Coturnix japonica: one gene and its partner. The main gene of each other region encodes a partner of the protein of the gene in region 2 in a complex. Links are inferred from orthologs where the notes say so. Each region holds a gene or a part of one and is shown on either strand. Other genes may lie near its edges.

What was found.
Region 1: the proteins of PIGT (region 2) and PIGU are in contact, whole or in part, in a cryo-EM structure (PDB 8IMX), measured with the Homo sapiens proteins. The link is inferred for Coturnix japonica from reciprocal best matches to the Homo sapiens genes PIGT and PIGU. Residues at the interface, in NP_057021.2 of Homo sapiens: Tyr361, Gly362, Leu363, Gln364, Lys365, Arg394, Leu395, Tyr396, Val397, His398, Tyr416, Pro418, Ala419, Gln420, Asp421, Arg422, Gln445, Glu447, Leu450, Leu451, Lys452, Trp453, Thr454, Pro518, Thr519, Pro520, Asp521, Phe522, Ser523, Met524; in NP_536724.1 of Homo sapiens: Glu30, Lys42, Arg43, Val45, Glu46, Ser49, Leu50, Leu53, Val55, Ser59, Gly60, Ala61, Val62, Pro265, Asp266, Leu267, Pro269, Leu273, Trp275, Tyr276, Phe277, Phe278, Ala279, Glu280, Met281, Phe282, Glu283, Phe289, Phe293, Asn296.

What each region holds. Positions count from the first base shown.
Region 1 is NC_029535.1:489,496-498,622, reverse strand, and holds the start of PIGU (phosphatidylinositol glycan anchor biosynthesis class U protein), read right to left. Parts: upstream 4,982-9,127; 5' UTR 4,916-4,981; coding exon 4,786-4,915; intron 2,513-4,785; coding exon 2,448-2,512; intron 1,169-2,447; coding exon 1,109-1,168; intron 165-1,108; coding exon 102-164; intron 1-101. UniProt on the Homo sapiens protein: Component of the glycosylphosphatidylinositol-anchor (GPI-anchor) transamidase (GPI-T) complex that catalyzes the formation of the linkage between a proprotein and a GPI-anchor and participates in GPI anchored protein biosynthesis.
Region 2 is NC_029535.1:4,466,842-4,476,074, forward strand, and holds the start of PIGT (GPI transamidase component PIG-T), read right to left. Parts: upstream 5,180-9,233; coding exon 4,822-5,179; intron 4,600-4,821; coding exon 4,422-4,599; intron 3,687-4,421; coding exon 3,559-3,686; intron 2,528-3,558; coding exon 2,427-2,527; intron 2,293-2,426; coding exon 2,206-2,292; intron 1,878-2,205; coding exon 1,790-1,877; intron 1,715-1,789; coding exon 1,617-1,714; intron 1,399-1,616; coding exon 1,233-1,398; intron 1,131-1,232; coding exon 930-1,130; intron 394-929; coding exon 228-393; intron 95-227; coding exon 11-94; intron 1-10. Other genes in the region: DBNDD2 (dysbindin domain-containing protein 2), read right to left, coding at 6,430-6,635, 7,356-7,499, 7,967-8,122, 8,681-8,861. UniProt on the Homo sapiens protein: Component of the glycosylphosphatidylinositol-anchor (GPI-anchor) transamidase (GPI-T) complex that catalyzes the formation of the linkage between a proprotein and a GPI-anchor and participates in GPI anchored protein biosynthesis.

The DNA of each region.
Region 1 (9,127 bases), about 4.0 Mb from region 2:
TACTGCTAAGTAAGTAGATGTGCTTGGTGCAAGTTCTCTCTAGCACAAGATATTTGTACTTGTTTGAGAAGAGGACCAGCAACAATGGCAAGTCAGCTTACCACAACTTTGTTGTAGTCCTGGATGGCCAAGTAAAGGGCAACAGCTGTTAGTACATCAGTTATCTAAAAAAGCAAAGCAAAACACAACAACTGAATGGAGAAAAACATATTGGACGCTACTGCATACTTGAGTAAGGGCTTTGATCTGACTTGATTAATGGATAAAAAAGCTTTAAAAACACCAACTAGCTTGCTGATCTGTACACTGTATTCACACACCACCAATGAACACAGAAGCCATGGGATGTATCAGACATTAATAATTGCAGAACAAGAAAATGGGGAATTAAGGTGAAAGAAACGGCAGGGATAACAGAGAACTCACTGGTATTATCAGTGCACAGGCAACAACAGGGCAGTGCCCAGCTGGCTAAATCCACGTGCCATTAATCCAGAACAACAGTGCCTTGAGCTGCCCCACACTTCACAGGCAGCAGTACTGAAGTATTGGTGCAAGCACAACCCAGATGGCTGCTACCCCTGTTAGAGACCTGCCAGCAGGGAGCTGGGGAGAGAGGCTCCACCAGGTGGTATGTGCAGCCAGCTATATGATTTCTGTCCCTCTGAATTACACAGAACTCACAGATTAGCTTACAACAAGGGACATTTGGATTACTGAACCGTTTGTGTTCTCTTTACGGCCCTGGAGTTTGGCAGTGGGTTTTGACGAGAAACACGGCAATACAGGGATTGACCTGTAAGAGGTAAACTTTGAAATCTGAAACCAAATGTCAACGTTCTGTCCCATCAAGGGAACGTTTAACTAGCCAAGAAATAACAAACAAAAAAGGAAAAAAGAAAAAAAGAAAGAAATCGTAGAGCAAGGGAAAAGCCTGAACTTGGGGTTGTGCATGCAAAGCTGCCTTTATAATCAAACCATGAGGTCAGCAGGAATTTGGACTCCAGGGAGCCTGAAGATCCCTGATTCTTGCAGGAGTGAAAGGAAAGTCATGCTCATCATTTCACAGAATGGGACCCTTCAAGAGGAACTTTCCAGGAGCACTTACCATGAAGACCAATTCAGCATATTCAATCAGGAAGTGAAAGAGATATATTATCAGCGGGGTCTACGAGAGAGCAGAAGAGAAATCTGTGTCAAATAGTGCACATCCCCATTTGGAAAAAGCAACCAGCAATTCAAGGAGAAAAACAGAGTAGCACTGTGAGAGACTGCAAAAGGTAACCTTCCTCAACGCTGTTACTTTGGATAACAAAACCGAAGTGATAACCAAACCACAATTCACTGAATCTTTTTCTTTGCAAAGTTCTCAGTACATTTCATAAAAGCATTTCATAAAAGACACATCAATTTGGAAAATGACATTCTATTCCAACCTTGCCATTCTACCAGCACGGTGGTAGAACCACAACAGAACTACAAACAGAAAAGCCTCAGAAAGTGGGGTTTGTTTTTTGTTTTTTTTTCCTTCCTTGAGAATCTCTTTTTCTTTCAGGTTGTTTGCATGTCTCTTGAAAGCATTTCCTACACAGCTGGTCCCCCTGCTCAGCCTGTTGGTTAGGCAAATTACCTATAGAGTAAAAAGAAGCCATGGGAAAACAAAGCGGTGGTCCTGTTATTCTCATAGCCCTGTAAGGTAACTGCCTCTGGGCTTCTGAATTATTCCTTTGACAGAAAAGCTTAACCTGGAACGAAGGTATTACATTCACAGGGTAAAAAATTCAGGCTTTACTGTCAGAAAACATATTTCTTTTAAAATACTTTGAACATAACATGATGGTATAACTAAGCATTCATATATGCTTCATGGTCTGGGAGAAAATTGTTTCAGGAAGAATTTATTGAAAAGAAACAAATTTTCAGAGATGCCCAAAGTGTGAGACACACCAAGATGACGCTGCGTATAAGCCTACATTCGTATCAATAAGGCCATTCAAGGGCACAAAAACCTCTGGAGGAACAACGAGGTTTCCAAAATGAGGAACAAACACGCTGCATGACTGTGCTCTAACCCAAGATGCTGCTATTCAGCACAACTGCATTACAGCGGCCAGCAGCACTGTCTCTCCCCGCTCCTGCCTCTACTCACAGGAAATGTGGATGTGAACAAAGCATTTTATTTCTTAGAGATTTCCCCTATTCCGGACTCTCCTTATGCACTACAAGCACCACAGTGTCTATCATCCGCTCTCAACTAGTTGTTCTGAGGAATACGAGCTGCATTTCCTCGCTGGTCACTGTGTGGAACTCTCGCACAAACACAACTCTTCATTTTCTGAAATGTTTGGGACAAAACAAGTTCACCAACCTTTGCCAATCCACACGTAATAGGACTAAGAAATGTGCTGCTGGAATATCATGTTTAAAACAAAGCACTGCATACCAACCTCATGAAAAATAGCTCCAGAATATGGTGAGACCCCTAAATCCAGCAGAGCTAATCCTTCAACCACTGAAACACAAAACAAATCCACATTAGAATCCTGCAGTGCTGGAAGAGAAAAACATGTGGTGGCAATGAAACAATAGTTCTCAAAACACCCGAGCTCATAAAAATCTCACACAATCACCATCTGAATTGGAGACACAGAATCTCACACAAGCAGCTATCAGCCAGAATTGAATGCTCTCAAACATCCTGTCATTTGTTTCAGACAACTTGAGATGCTGTAGATGAAATGTTCTGCAGTTACCTGTATTTATGAATCACATGTATTTACTGATTTTAAGTCTCCTATCATGTGACACGTGGTATCTACAGTATCTACACTGGAGGAATAATTCTGACTGAAAACTTGGAAGAGTACAAGAGTTCAGGTGGAAGAGACCTACAGTTATCACTGAGTCCAACAGCCTGGTTCCTTGTGCTGGGCCCAGCAGGGAGGGGCTCACTGCCCCCAGCAGCCATGCAGCACTGCGCTCTGCACTTGCCACTAGAACAGTGCTGATGCAGCACTGGCATTTTGCTCTTGTTGAGTAGCACTGGCACAGCATCAACTCTGCAGCTCCCAGAGGCAGCAGGCCAGGGGTGGGCAAAATGTGGAGTGGACATCTCTGGGACACTGACCTCAGCTGAAAGGATATTGCACATTGTGTGATGCTACACACGGTGACAGGAGCTGGGGAAGGGAAAAAGGAGGGCTCTCATCAAGAAAATGTCTGTTCACCTGAACAGCCACTATGCACATTGAGCACCTGGTTCCCAAGATGTGGTTGAACTCAGCTTGCTGACGGAAATAGGGAACAAGGCACAGTGCTGGCTCCTGCTGCACCTACCGCCAGTGACAGGTCTGGAGGGTCCTGTCTCTCCCCTCATGTCCTTCTGGTGGATGGCTGTGACACTGGCTGCCTTTGGCCGCAGACCCCACCCTCACAGTATCTTTGGTGAACTGTTGGGATGAGTCCCATGACCTCCCTCAGCTCTCTGGGCTCACTCCTGGCCCCACGGACTTGTAAACATTCTGATACAAGTGCTCCCTTTTAGTCATCACAGATGGAAACCAATGTTTCCACAGCATTAAATGCCTCCACCTTTTCCATGCATACTCATTAAGTGACCATCTTCATCACGTATCAGTCCAGCATTTTCTTTAGATCTCCTCTTGCTGCTGATAAACATAAAAGCCTTTCAGTTGTCTGACACAACACCGGCCAACATCACCTCAAGCTGAGCTTTGTTCTTCCTCATTTTCTCTCTGCAGATGTGAACCGCAGCTCTGTATTCTCCCTGTGAAGCCAAACTTTTTCCCAGAGGTTGTGTACTTTCTCTTCCTGCCCTGTTCCAGGAGCCCCGTTCAGGCAGGCTGCTCCTGCTGCACCTCCCTGACTTGTCACACAGTGGGACTGCCTGCACCTGTGTTTTTAAAAGGTGGGACTTGAGGGGCACCCAGCTCTGGTCGGCACCTGGGCCCTCAAGAGTGGATTCTCAGGAGACACTGCTAACTAACTATGTGAGAAGCTCCATATACAGTGTGATTTGAACCATGCTGCCTTGTTACATGTAGAGGCCTCAAACGAACAAAACTAGATGGAGAAATGAAACAGATAACAGGAAGCAACCAGAGGCTTTTGAATCAGCAGTGTGCTCAAGAAGCAGATTCCACTTCTACCCTGAAGTTACCCTTCAGCCCAGGCCTCTTCCTGGCTGGAGGCACAGCCTGAAGCTCTAAAGTGGGATTTAGAAGGAATCCATTGCTGCAAGGGTATCCTGTGGGGCTGTGTTTTGAACCTGTGAAGCACCTTATTAATTATCAAATGCATTCATGCTTTCTGGCCTTTATTACACTGTGTGACTGTGTTCTGCCCCAAACCTGCAGTGATTGCACCTGCACGGTACCCAGGTATTATGTTCCCATAGAGCAATCTGTGCTTCGCAGCGGGCTCAGGTGCCACGATGAAGCATGTCACAGAGCAGCCCTGGTTACACCCCGTGTCTGTGCACAGGATCTGGACCCGGTGTCGGTAACAACGTGAGGCCACGAGCGAGCACAAAATGGAACACGAGCAGCAGTGCCGGAGCAGCGCGGCTCACGGCAGCACAGCGCCCGGGGTCACAGCGCGACGGGAGCGACTCGACACCGCCGCCGACGGCCCCTCACACCCCGGCGCAATGCGGACCGCCCTGCCCCGCTCCGAGCTCCGGGCCCCGCTTCCCGAGAGGCGCCCGCGGAGCCCGAGAGGCCTCGGCCCGTTGATCCGCCCTTGGAGCCCGGCGCGGGGCCTCACCTCGCTTCCAGGCGTTCAGCGGCGACGCCACCTCGACCCGCTCCGCGATGAAGGCGGCGAGGCTGGAGCGGTACAGCGCGGCGCGCACCGTCACGGCCGCCAGCACCGCCAGCACCAGCGGAGCCGCCATCCTCGCGGGCACACGCCGGCCCGACGCCGCCTGTAGTTCGCGGGCGGTGCCGGACAACGGGGCGGCAATGCGGCGGCACGGCCGGGCGGACTACGCGTCCCACAAGGAACCGCGACGCCGCCGCTCCCGACAGCGCCCGGGAACTACGGCGAGTCCGGGGAACCGCTGCTCGGCGCGCGGACGCTGCCCGGCCGGCTGTGCTGGGGCCGCTGAGCCGGGCGGGCCTTCGCCGGAGCTGTGCCAAACAGAACGTTGCTTCTGGCATAGCGATACCAGGCCGAGGAGATGCACCCGAGGAATCAATACCGACAAGCTGCGGCTCGTGGCCCAGCTTAAAGAACAGAAGATCTGCGTTCTGCTTGAGTAGCATCGGGAAACGTATTGGGGCGGATCGGTTCTGCGGGAGGAACGGCGGGCAGAGGGGGAGTTAAAGAGTGGGCCGGGAGTGCTCAGCCAGGAGGGAACGAGACGCTGTGCCGGGCAGTAGGAAAGAGGAGCTGCTATGTCGTTCTGGTCAGGTGTGTCTGCAGGAAGGAGGGTCAGGAGAGCGGCTGTGAGCTGTGAGCTGGGTGAGGGAGGCTCTGGTGTGAGAGTGATTGAGACGTACTACGTACAAAGGGAGCCTGGACCTGTGATCCCGTTACCCTGCGAGGGGCACGGCCACAGAAGGGTGAAGTGTTAGGCCTGGGTGGAGAAAGAAGTGTGGGGAGTTACGGGGAGTGATAATGCTGGGCCTCGGGAGAGGGGAGGAAAAGCCCCAGAAAATGTTCCCCTGGACAGCCAGGGGATGCAGAGATTCGTGTGAAAGGACATCAGAAGGGGAAGCTGGTCCTTGTCCTAGGGAATCTACTAGCAGATAAAGGTGCCCAAGAAGCACCCTTGCAGCCACAAGTCACAGTGAATCATTTCACACTTGAGATACTCTCTCCTCCAGAAAGATGGGGAGGCTCTTAAAGGGTTGGGAGCAAAGGAGTCTGAAGGAAGGTGGATACTCCCTGATGGAAGAGAGGTGCTGAATAAAAAAGTGATGAGGGAAATTGTAGCCATCCTTACATCCAGGAAGTCACTGGGGGGTTCAGATGATGCGTGGTGCTGTACTGCTAAAGTATGGGTGTATAGACATTTTTACAGTAGCCAAACAAGTCTGTGAGAGGTGTGTGGTTAGTAAAACATATTCATAAGAAAGCTCTTTGGAACCAACCCAGGGCCATTTTAAAGACCATTCCAAAGTGTTCAGGTCAACTTCATGCCCCTGGTGGACCATGGAATTCTGTGCCCCATGGCACCCCGTCATCATCAGTGTGGTGGGCTACCACCTATAATGGATGGATTTACTCAACAAGTTCAACTATACCGAAGCTTTGAAAAATCAAGTCAGTGTATTTTAAGGGGTTGCTCAGCCAAATTGCCAGCCCCTGCAGTGTAATCCAGTAATGATAATGATTAGAAAGGCTGATAAATTTTTCAGCCACACTTATAGTTTCGGAGCAGATGGGACTGGTAATGACCCAGTGGCGAGATTCAGAACAGCAGAGGAACCACAACCCAATGTTACTAACATTATGTGGGAGGAGAAAGACCTTGCAGAAAGGGAGAGGAGTCATCTGGATTACCCTATTGTAATTGTTAAGGAAATGAAAGATCTCTGACAGATGTTTGAGGTAGAAATGGGATATGGGGACCTGAATGCCTGGATAGAATGGGTAAAATGTACCATCCAGAGTCTCAGTCATAGCAAGTGTTATGCTTGCGGCTCGGGGCACCCAACTGCCCGGGTGGTACCTAAAGGAATCCCTGATGAACATAAAGTAAAGAACCAGATCACAGCCAGGTTTGAGTCTTCTCTATTTTGGTAGATAACTATTAATAAGAATGTAGCCTGGATCAATTATATTTACCATAATCAGCAGGGCTTCGTAAATTATAGAAGGGATTGCCTAACTATTAAGTGCCACTGGTAGGATGACATGGGAAAATAGGATAGTGTTAGACATGATGTTGGCTGAAAAGGGTCAAGTATGTGTAAATGATGGGCATTCACTATTTCACCTTTATACCCAATAATACAGCCCCAAATTGCACCATAGCCTGGGCACTTACTTCACTTACTAGGTGGTTCAGTAAATGGAAGGGAGTGCTGGTATCAGTACTTACATCTTTAATTGTAATAGCAGGAGTTCTGACAGCAGCCAGCTGTTGTATTATCCCCTGTGTTAGAGGGTTGGTCCAGCATTTAATCAAAACCATCCCATCTAAGCAGATGCTGTAGGGCTACCACTATATTCAGACAAGGCATAGGCTGTAAGGGAAGATGTAGGAGATGGTGGTGATTGGGATGATGTGTCTTCAAAAGAGACAATTGTGTAAACAGAAAGGGGGAACTGTGGGAAAGGGAATGTTGTTTTCTCAGAATGACACCAGAAAGAAGCTTGTGCAACCAAAGAGATGTACCTGAGGACTCATAATGCTGACAAGTTCCTGCTTGTGGCTGAGCTTAAAGAATAGAAGGTCTGCTGCATTCTTGAGTAACATCAGGAAATGTACTGGAGCAGATCTGTTCTGTAGGATGAATGGTAGTCAGAGGGCAGGGTTAACTACGAGAGGGTTATCTCAGTGTACCATAACAGGGAAAAGCTAAACACTAGTAGGAGGGGAACAGGGAGGAGGTAACCAAGCAGTAAACAGGGGTGGGACATGTAATAAGAAAATGAGAAGTATGGGATAGGCTGTAAGCCCTGGAGTGCTCAGCCAGTGAGGAAATGAGAACTTGTGCAGGGCAGTAGGAAATAGAAGCTGTTGTGTCTTTCCAATCAAGTGTGCCTGCCCTGTTGGTTATCTGCTCTTGCAATAGCGTAGAGTAAAATGTGATTGATAACAAATTCCACTTGAGTCTGGACTATTGGGCACCAGCATTTCTCACAGAGCCTCTGGCATGGAGCCTGCCCCAGCTCCTCATGGGGAAAGGCTGCTCCTGGCACCTGGTGCAGGTGCTCCGCTTCGCACCCTGTGCCCTGTACCCATTCCCTACCACCCACCTGGGAAGAGCCAGGAACTATCTCCTCCATGGTTGCCTCCAAGGGGTTGCTGTGCTGCCATGATGCCATCTCTCCTCCTGTTGTGACCATGTCTGAGCTCAGTGTGGTGTTGGTGGCCCTGCACTGAGCTCAGCCAGCTGTGCTGCAGAACATTGCACTGCACTTTCTGGGTTCACGATGGCAGTGGGTGGTTGTGGTATCAGCAGGATCATCAGTCTCCAGTGCTTACAACTTCCAGGCAGACTTTAGCACACTGCCTTCTCTGTTCATTCTTTGCTTTCCTCAGCCTGCATGGCGACTGTTTTGCTGTCCGCATCCATAGCAACATCTGCCTCCCTTTCACACAAACTCTCACAAAGCAGGTTCTACAACCCTTGGTCCAGAGTGATGAAGATTGGAAGGAAGACCTGTTCGTGTCTTAAAAAAATGACGAATAGAATGACAGCACACACTTCATATCATAATCTATCATTACAACATTACAACCCTTACTTTCCTGTAAGAAACATAATGGATTTACTGACACTATGAGGCTGCCACTGGGGAGAGTTTGTTAATGTCCAGGCCACAGTGTTTGCATTGGATCCATGCAACTTCTGCACCAGATGGAATGGAGAAGTCTGAATGTCTCGTGGACGTAGTTCCTAAAGGCCCCAGTAGCCCAGTGTACTCCATCCCTATGATTTGCTGGACTTAGATGGTTAACTCATGCACTTTCTGGACCAAGATCATTGCTCCAAGTTTTTCCAGCACTTAGAACAGACTTGTTGCCTTCATGCTGCAGAAGCAGCATCAGATGGCCCAAGGAGTGTTTCTTGCTGCTCTTCCCCACCCGCCCTGCTCTGGGGTGAAGCAGCACATCCATCTGCTGCTGCCTGTTCAAGGGGCTACTTAAGTATGGTCATATCTGCTGCCACAGGACAACAGATCTCCTTCTCAAACAATAAGGGGAACTTTAGAAATCAGCCTATCAAGTGGGACCTCTTCTGCTCTCAGGCCACTGTCTGAAAACAACACAGTTCTATTGAGGTGGTAAAACGAATTTCCTATTAGCACAAACATTAGCTGACCATGGGATTTGATGGCCGCAGGACTGACTGGGCTCTGCACCTCTTCTGATCAGTCAGAGTGGATTTGTTCAAGTTAAATTGTGCAGACATCTGTAAATAAGAAGACA
Region 2 (9,233 bases):
GCACACTCACAGTGAGGTGAAGAGTGGGCTCTCCTCCACATTCACATCCTTCATTGCGATGACACTGGGCACTAGGGCACTAAGTACAGATGAACTAAGAAGGAAAAGGATATATTGGTGTCAGTCCTGCCAGTAAAGAGAACATAGGTTCTTCCCACCCTAGAAACCCAGGCAGCAAGTGCTACACATAGCCCAGAAGGGGACAAGGAGCTGGGAGGTGCCTTTACCTGACGTAGAAGCCGTGATTAGGGTCAGGTGGGTACTCTGTCCACTTCAATAAGGCCCTCTCAAACTGGATTGTGATCTTGGTGGCAGAATTGGCTGGAAGCTGGATCAGCATTTCCAGGAGGTGAGGTCGTTTCCGGTCCTGGGCTGGCTGGTAGTGAATATAACCTAACCCCAAAGACACCTATCAGTGGTGTGGGCTGGGCAGGGGGAAGGAAGGGGGCATGTCCAGCCTCACACCGCCCAGAGACCTCCACAAAGTGGGTAATTTTGCTTCCCCTGTCCTGGGAAGAGTTGTTCTTCTGGGCAAGTGAAGATGCACAGGTAACAAAAAATGCATTAAAACTAAATCTGTCTGGTCTACAGCAACGATGACCCATCAAAGTCAATGTTCAAAAAGAAAGATAATGTGATCTAGTCAACAATTTTAAATTAGGATTCTTTTACTACCCAAACCAATTTGCTTTGGTTCAGCACTGTTCTGGATTATGAAACACCGTCCACGTGACTCTATAGAACAGACTTATTAAAGGCAAATCTTGAGTAGTAGACTGAAGGCTGGGAAAACATCCTAAGATGTTTAATTTCCCAGGCCTGTTACCCAGTGATTGCTGGGTCCAAGGGAGGGAACTAAACCATCTCTGGAATGTGCTGCTTGTGCCAAGGGATTCAGATGGAATATGCTGCCAGGAATGTCTACTTACTTGGCTTGTTTTCTTTTCCCTTAGTTATGATAGTCAAAGTGTGCACATAGAGTCGCAGATACCATGGCACAGTCTCCAGCAGGATCACAGGGAACGCACGGTATGGGTGAGTGTTGTAGATGAGGGTGCTGATTTCTCCAGTCTGCAGCCCATATCCACTTACATAGCGCTGAGCGTGCATTATGGGTGTTGACAGTTCCACTGCAGAAAGGAAAAGGAAAGAGGAATGAGAGGCCAGTGGCAGGAGCATTTGTGCCTGGAGCCCTGTTCAGCAGTGCAGAGGGGATAACACAGGTAGCTTACAGCTGTCTTCAGGCCGCTTCCACTTCAGCTGCACGTTGAGGCTGCGAGATGTATTGAAGAGCACAGGGCTGAGCAGGTCATAGACTGCATAGGTTGTCTTGTCTCCTTGGACAATTGCTTCGTGTACAGATGTTGGTGTGGGGGTCACTTCCAGTAACTCTTTTTCCTGAGAAAGCAAGTGGATCATGAAAAGTTCCCCTTGAAATATATTGTGGTGCTAAGCAAAGCCCCACTCAGAAGCAGCCAGCCCTGAGCTCTCCCACCCAGTGACCAGTTCAACATGCTTGCTGACACCTCTAAACTCAGATCCTGATGTAGGAGGCAAGGATGCTCCAGTGCCCCTGAACTGAGAAAGCAGGATGCTCCCTCATCCATGGGTGTTACCTTGTTCTTAGGAGAGATGTCAACGTAGACCTTGCTCTCTGATGCCAGAGGACACGCGTCGGTAAGGGTGCGAGAGAACATCTTAAATAGGGACCAATCTGTGGGAGGCAAATCCAGTGATGGATGGCTTAAGGTGGACTGCAGGGAGCACAGCATAGTGGTGCTGAGCTTACCTTTCTTTCCTTGGCCACTTGTAAAGCTGTCAAAGACCACAGTGAGTGTCTGCCTGAGCTCCCAGGAAACAGCCAGGCAGGAAGCATCCTGTAGAAGAGACAGCTCCGATCACACCTTCTGGAAAGGCAAGACAGGAGGACTGCAAGAGTCCCATCAGAGCACTCATGAGACTAGAAAACATGTGAGATAGTGCAGGAGAGGTGACCAAAATCACGTCACTGAGCAGAGTCACAACAACAAGGCTACCAGTTTATCATCTCCTTGGAAGTGATAAAGCCTCCTACAACTCAGCACTGGAGAAAGCTTCCTAAAATTCAATTCTCCTCATTTTGTAGAGCACCAAGTAGCCACAAGACACCCTGCTCTGCCCATCTGCTGGAGCAAGGAGGGGGGAGCAGCTGAGTTTGATGCTTACCCGGCAGATGGGGCGGATGTGCACTGCCTGCGAGTGGTAGCTGCTGTGGAACAACCGCTCAGCCTTGAGCAGCACAGCCAGACCAGCCTGCAAGGGGAAGAGGAAAAACTCAGTCCATGGTCTTCTCTCTGCAAGGCTTTGAGACTTCCTTGTGCACATTGCTGGACTGCATCTAGCTCCACAGAGTGTAGCCCAATGCAGGAGCAGAAACTTGCCATTACCTTTGAGCCACATGGCAACAGCTTCTTCCAAGGTGTGAGGTTCTCTGTGCAGACCACCTCCCGGGGCAGGACAGCATAGCGCAGGAAACGGTGGTCTGTCCCTGTAGGGAAGTGGAGAGTTAACAGTCTGGGACTGTTTAGCCTGGAGAAGTGGAGGCTCAGGGGTGAACTTTTCACTCTCTGTAACTCCCTAAGAGCTGGGGGTCAGATTCTTCTCCCAGGTAACATCAAAATAACAGGAAATGGCCTCAAGTTGTGCCAAGGGAGGTTCAGTTTGGATATTAGGAAGAATTTCTTCTCTGAAAGAGTAGTCAAGCATTGGAACAGGTTGCACAGAGAAGTGGTGGAGTCCACATCCCTGGAAGTGTTTAATGTAGCACTCAGGGACATGGTTTAGTGGGCAGTATCAGTGGTGGGTGGATGGTTGGACTAGATGATCTTAGAGGTCTTTTCCAACCTTAATGATTCTATGGTTCTGCTGCAGAAGCACACCAGTTCCATTTTCTAGTGTACTCCAGAGTACAGCACCCTCTAAGGGTGCCTAAAATGCCACAATCTCCATTAGGAATAGATCCTACTTGTTTAGAGTGATTTGGAAAGACTGAAGGTCTCTCTTAGGGTATCTCTTCACAGATTCTTTTTTCAGAGTTCCTTAAATCCTGCAGTTCTCACTGGATGCTTTCTAAAATACTTTTTAGAGATAGTTAAGGGCTTGCAAGCACCTGCCACGTATTTCTTGTGGGTTTCCTGTGCACAAATATAAGCTTCAATAGCAGGGATAGAAAATGCTTCCAGCAGGTTAACAATCCCTGCTGTACACGCCTGTATTCAGATAGGGTGCTGCCAGCTGCTGGAGTAAGGTTAGCAGACAGGAAACAGAGTGAGAACACTTGTTCTCCTGAGTGAGACAGAACAGCACCAGCCTCTCTGGTATTTGTTCATGGACACAGGATTTCCCTTTCTAGGGAAATCTCATCACAGTGACATCAACTCAGGAAAAAACATTGCTAACACAGGAGTCCCTGCAGGACCTGCACCCAGCTGCCCCAGTGGCACGGGGGTGGTAGAACTAAGGCTAGGGACAAGAGTCAGTGCACGAAGCCAGCCCTTCAGATGTGTGGGTCAGGCTCACCATTGGCTACACCCAGGGGTTTGAAGGACGCTGTTGGAGTGACTGTGTTGGTGGAGTCAATAAAGTTCAGAGAAGCACAGAATATTCCCGAGAGGATGTTACTCAGTTCTTTCCAGGCTTTGTCAACACTGTGTGAGAACAGACAAATATTACTCATTAGCTTGGAGCCTCAAAATAACAGGTGTTAATTCAGTAACATCCAATAACATACTGCAGTGACCACAATGGTTTTCAGGAGCTTTCAGGTTGTTGGTCACTCACCCTCCACCCCTCCCAGTGCTTTGTTCTAACACATTAGATGTGGGTGTTCATTGCAGGGGTAGTCCTTGGGCTGGCAGTGAGTGGTAGGCAAGGCTGGGGGAGCAGGGAGCAAGTGATGGAGTCTGGATGAGGCAACTTAAGGCAGCTTTCAGTGGGATGGCAGGACAGAAAGCTCTGTGAATCCACACTAAGCTGCTGCAGCCAAGCTAGAGGGAACATTAGACAGGGAATGGTGGCAGATAGTGTATAGGAGTCAAAGGAAGTGAGTCATGGGTGAGAGCTTGGGGTGTAACTGCCACCACAGCCAGAGCTTTGTCATCACAGAGACAAGAGGGAATTGTTTCTTGAGTGAACAAAAGCTTTCTCTCTCTGCACCACTCTGCTCTTCAGACTAAGCACAAGTCCACTCTGCTGCTCCTCTCTTACAGGCCCTTCACTCCAGCTGACGTCAAACCCTTTCTAGCTAATGGCAAGCCCCAGTAAGCAGGGCCACTGAAGAAAGGAGGCTGTGGGTGGGATGGATGCCATGCTGTCCTCCAGCTGCAGCCCCGCATCCCACCAGGCTACAGCCCCATAGGTGCAGCGGTGCCAGATGTACGTACTCAGGGACGGTGTCCTGGAACCAGACCCAGAGCTCAGCGCCAGCAGGGGCTCCCAGGGGCGGCTGCCCCCAGCTCTGGGTACTCCAGAAGCCCTGGGTCAGGGCGAGGTGCAGCTCCCGCACACCGTGTGCTGCCACCAGCTGCCCCAGCGCCTTCGGGAAGAGCCTGTAGTGAGAGACTACCGGGGGGGGGTGGGGGGTGTCAGTGCCGTGACGTCACAGCTCCGCCTGCTGACGTCACAGCTCCGTCTGCTGACGTCTCCGCCCGCTGACGTTACCAACCCCATGCAGTCCCGCAGCCCCGTTCCCGTATCACGACACCACCCTCGACCCCATGACGTCACCACAGCCCTCCGACGTGACGTCACACCTGCATCTCCGACGTCACCACGCCGCCCTACCTGCCCCCTGCTGCAGGTCGGCGTCCCAGCGCGTGCGGAACTGGAACACGGCGGCCACGTCCCCCCCGGGCAGCGGCCGCAGCAGCAGCTCCTCCCGCAGCGCGACCCGCGTCACCCCCCGCCCCAACCCCAGCCCCAGCAGCACCAGCCACAGCGCCAGCATGGCCGCCCACCCCGCCCACCCTCTTCCGCTTCCGATCCGGCCGCCCAATGGCTCCCACTTCCGGCGTCGCTGTGGGGGTGCGGCCTGGGAGCGGTTCGGTTGTGGGTCGAGCTGTGCCAGACCCGGGTAGAACAGGGAGTTGTTGTGGGCTCCTGCAGGGACGGCACCATATGGGGCTCTCTTTGCTCCTGCCATGCGTGGAGCCCAGCATTGCCTCACGTCCTGCTTACAGCTCCCTCTCCTAGGATACCCCCCTGCTTTCTGTTCTCCATGTGATATCACCATCCTGCAGCAGCAGGTTCCTTTGGGTATGGGCACACTATCAGGAGGAAGGTCATACTGGGACAGGGCTGTGATGGAGCTCCTCATACCCAGGGATGCGTTGCCCTCCATGCAGGGCTGCCTGCCTGCAGCATGGCAAGAGCTGAGTGAGTACACAGTGTTCCCAGGTCCCTGTTGTTTATCTCCAGGCTTTTTCACTTGTGGGGTGACTGTGGCTCTGCTGATGCAGCTGGGGCAGTGACAACACTTTCCTAAGCCTGAATGTGCTGATAGAGGTAGTGGGCCTTGCTTGTCCTGTGAGGCAAGTTGTAACAGGGCTCCACTGCAATGGCTCCTCCTGCACTCCTCCAAAGCGGCCTCCAGCCAGGATGACGCTCGTGTGCTGTGCTGGAGGGGCAGCAGCAGCTGATGCTGTGTGTGCTGATGGATTCTGTCAGCCAGTTTGCATGGGAAATCATCCTGGTTGTTACAGGTCACCAGCAAACCTTGAGGCCAGCTGTGCCATGCTGCAGCCTCTGGCTGCTTGCCCTGTGGATGCAGCACTGCATGGTGACCTGCCCATGCGTGACCTTTGCAGAGCAAACAGAGGTCTGTGCTGCCTGCTCCCTGCTTACAAGGCTTCACCCTGTGCTGGAGCTGAGGTATGTAGCAGGAGAACTGCATTAGTTTGCTCCCAAGTTTCACTCCCAGCACACTTGCTTTATAACTTTTTCCCTCCTGCAATCCCCACCTAACCTTCATCCCAGTGCTGTTTTCTCCCAATAACACACACACCCACTGCTTGGTTAGATAGGAGTGTTATTTCTCTGTATGCCTTTGTTAAATGCTTGTCTGGATAGGGTGCTTGTCAGTGGGACAATGGGAGCTGGGATCCCAAGGGATGGTTTCTGGGAATGGTGGGGCTGTGGGATGTTGAGCATTTGAGGGGAATGAAGCAAGGAAGTGTTAGCAGCAAAGCCTGAAGAGTTAGTTTTGGGAGCCTACAATACCCCTTTGCTTCTGCCTTGGATGCCAGGAGAACCTGCAGAGGGAGAGGAGGGAAAACCATCTCCCCTCTGGCAAGGCAGCAGTCCAGGATGGGGTTTACTGAGTGCCAGCAGCTTTCCTTCCTCCAGGCTGGCTGGTCCATCCAGAAGAGGCTGGGAGCAGGGCAGAGCTGGCTGCTAGCTTCTTGCTAGCTCTTTAGGACTGTCCTCCTGCAGGTCCTCCTCATCTGACTGCACCACAGGGGTCTCAGCCCCTTCCTCGCTGGTGTCCAGGCTGTTGGGATCCGTAGAGACAGAGGATGTGGAGGAAATGCGTGACTTGGTCTCAGCTGCACTGGGCACTTGCAGGGTGATTTCCTCTTGGCACTGGCTGGCATCTGCTCCTGGAGGAGAGAGAGGTAAGAGAAGGAAGAAAAAGGCTTCTGGAGGCTTCATCCCCCTGAAACTTTAAAGATAGCCCCCCACACCCCCACTTATTATTCCTCTGTAAGCTACATTTTCTCCTTCACCCCACTTTGGGGTGCAATGGGAGCTGTGTGGCTGCTGTAACCGCTCCCCCCAAGCTTGGCTCTGGGCTGTGCCTTGCATTCCTTCCCCATTTTTGGTAGCAGAGCCTTCTCAGTCTTGTGAGAAGCACGGCTCAGAGCCATGCTGTGTGAGGCCATCAGCTGCAGTCACAGGATGTGCTGGGGAAATGTCTGGCTTGGCCTTGGTGACTCGCTACAGTACATGTGCGTGGGGAGGAAAATGCTGGCACGCGGGGCTTTCCCTGTGGGACTTGTGCCCAGCTTTGCTGCTGGCTCATGGGGCTCTCTGTGCCTGGGCTCTCTTGTCTTCTTCAGTGCAACATATTTACAGGGTCTGTATCTCTGGGCAGTGGAGGTGCATAGTGGCATGGGATAGTGGCCCAGGGTGAGGCCTTGCCAACCTCATGGTAACCAGCACCAAGTGACTGTCTTTGTATGGAGGATGTGTGTATGTGCACACGTACATGGAGCACTGGGACAGGTCAAGGTGACCAGGGCTGAAGAAGAAGCTGGTGGAGATGCTGGAGGCAGGAAGAGCTCCTGCTCTGAACCACAAAGGGCTCAGACTGCTCATACCTGTCAGGGGCCCGGAAACGCTGCTCTCCTCTGTCCCACAGGCCAGAAACACATCCACAGTGTCCTGGTCTGACAGGTCCATCATGTCCATCTGCTCCAGCACGTCCACATTCACCTCCATCGAGGAAATGCTCCCCAAGGGGGCTGCAGAGACAGAGGTCAGCAAAAAGGTGAGTACTAGTGTCAGGCAAAGGGCACCATACAAGTCTATCTGAACCATGGGCTTCAGGAAGAACCCCAAAATGGGAGGCCAGCCTTGCAGTGGAGAACCAGATTGCACCTGCTGGTACGAGGTCACATGAACATCACATTTGCTTAAAACATCCCCTATAAAAACCTGCTGTCACTGTAATCCTTGCTTCAGCTCCAAACTGCTGCCTGGAGGAGCCAGTGACTATGCAGGTAGCCAGCCTGGGTACCCCAGTTCAGTGCCTTTGTTAAGTGGTGTGAGTAATCCATATGCACACCCACACACAGCGTGTGTGGCCCTGTCTCCTTGCAGGACATGCATGTCCTTGGCTGCCATTAGACTGGGGACATTCCGCCAATCTCTAACTTGTGCCAGATCTCTGAAGCATGTCTAGCCCTGCTCCACCACCCACAGCACTTACGTCTCCGATGCTCCAGCTGCAGGTGAGACACGGGGAAGTAGAAATCCACTTCATGCTGGAAAACCTCCTCAAAGAATTTCTGCCGCTCCCGTAGTTTCAACTGCTGCTGCTGCTGCATCTGCTCCGCATCCAGGCTGCGCTGCCCCGGCTCCATGTCTGGAGAGGAAGGCAAGGAGGGTCAAGCCAGGCAGGCTGACAAGCCCTTCTGCCCGTGCCTGCTCACCCAGCACTGCAGTGCCCTGGGTAGGTGGTTCTCTCTGCTCTGCTTTACTGGTGCACGTTGATCTGGTCACTATGAATGACTGTTATGTGCTAGAGTGGCAGTGGCACTTGCTGTGCTGGAGCCTCGGCTCTCACTTCTGAGTGTTGGGAAGCCAGGAGCTGGGAGCTCATGTGCTGCTTTCACTGCTGCTGAAGTTAATTATCGTGGGGGGAAAGAGTTTGGATGTGAGATCAGTCATTTTAAGTACGTACTTAAAATTTATCTTGCTTGCTACAAATCAGTGTTGCCTGTGAACACTAACATGCAGGGGGAACTCCCTAGGATGAGAATTGGCGTTAGTGCTCCAGGCTTCCTGGGCTAAGGAATGCATAAAGAATAAAGGGCATTAGCAGCCTTGTCACCCCTGCACACGCTCCCTCCCGCTGCCACCCCCTGCTGCCACCGTTGCCATAAATACAGCCGCACCCACGCTCGCAGGCTCCCCCACTCACATCCCCTACTTGCACAGCCAGCTTGGCTTCTGCCTGCACAAACATTTTCATTCCTGTAATTCCTCCTGCAGTTCAGCGTTGGTGCCTGTGTTCCTGGCTCACGCGGGAGTGAAGAAGCCCTTGGGCAGTTGTTGAAGGAAAGCAGCAGGGAGCTGTTGCTGCATCCCAGGACCTGGTACATCCCTTTCGGGTTGGGTACCCACAATGGTAAGGACCCAAATGTCACAGATGAGCCATGGCCAGTGGCCCTGGCTGTTCCCAGGCTGGTGTTTGACCTCAGTTGTTCCAGATTTCCTCCCTGCAGCTCTTGGCCCAGCCAGCACAAGGAAAATGTGATTACTGGAGCAGGCAGTGCAGTAACCAAGGAAACCAAACAAACATCCCCTGCTCTGTCTGAGCACAGCCCAAACCCTCCACTCCTCGGGGTGGGGTGAAGGGAATCAAGCAGCAGGCAGTGCCCAGCATCCCCTCCCTGTCTGGCAGCAGCAGGGACAGGGACAGCGGGTGGCTGTCAGCAGCGCTTAGTGCCACAGGACCCAGACTGGATGGAGGT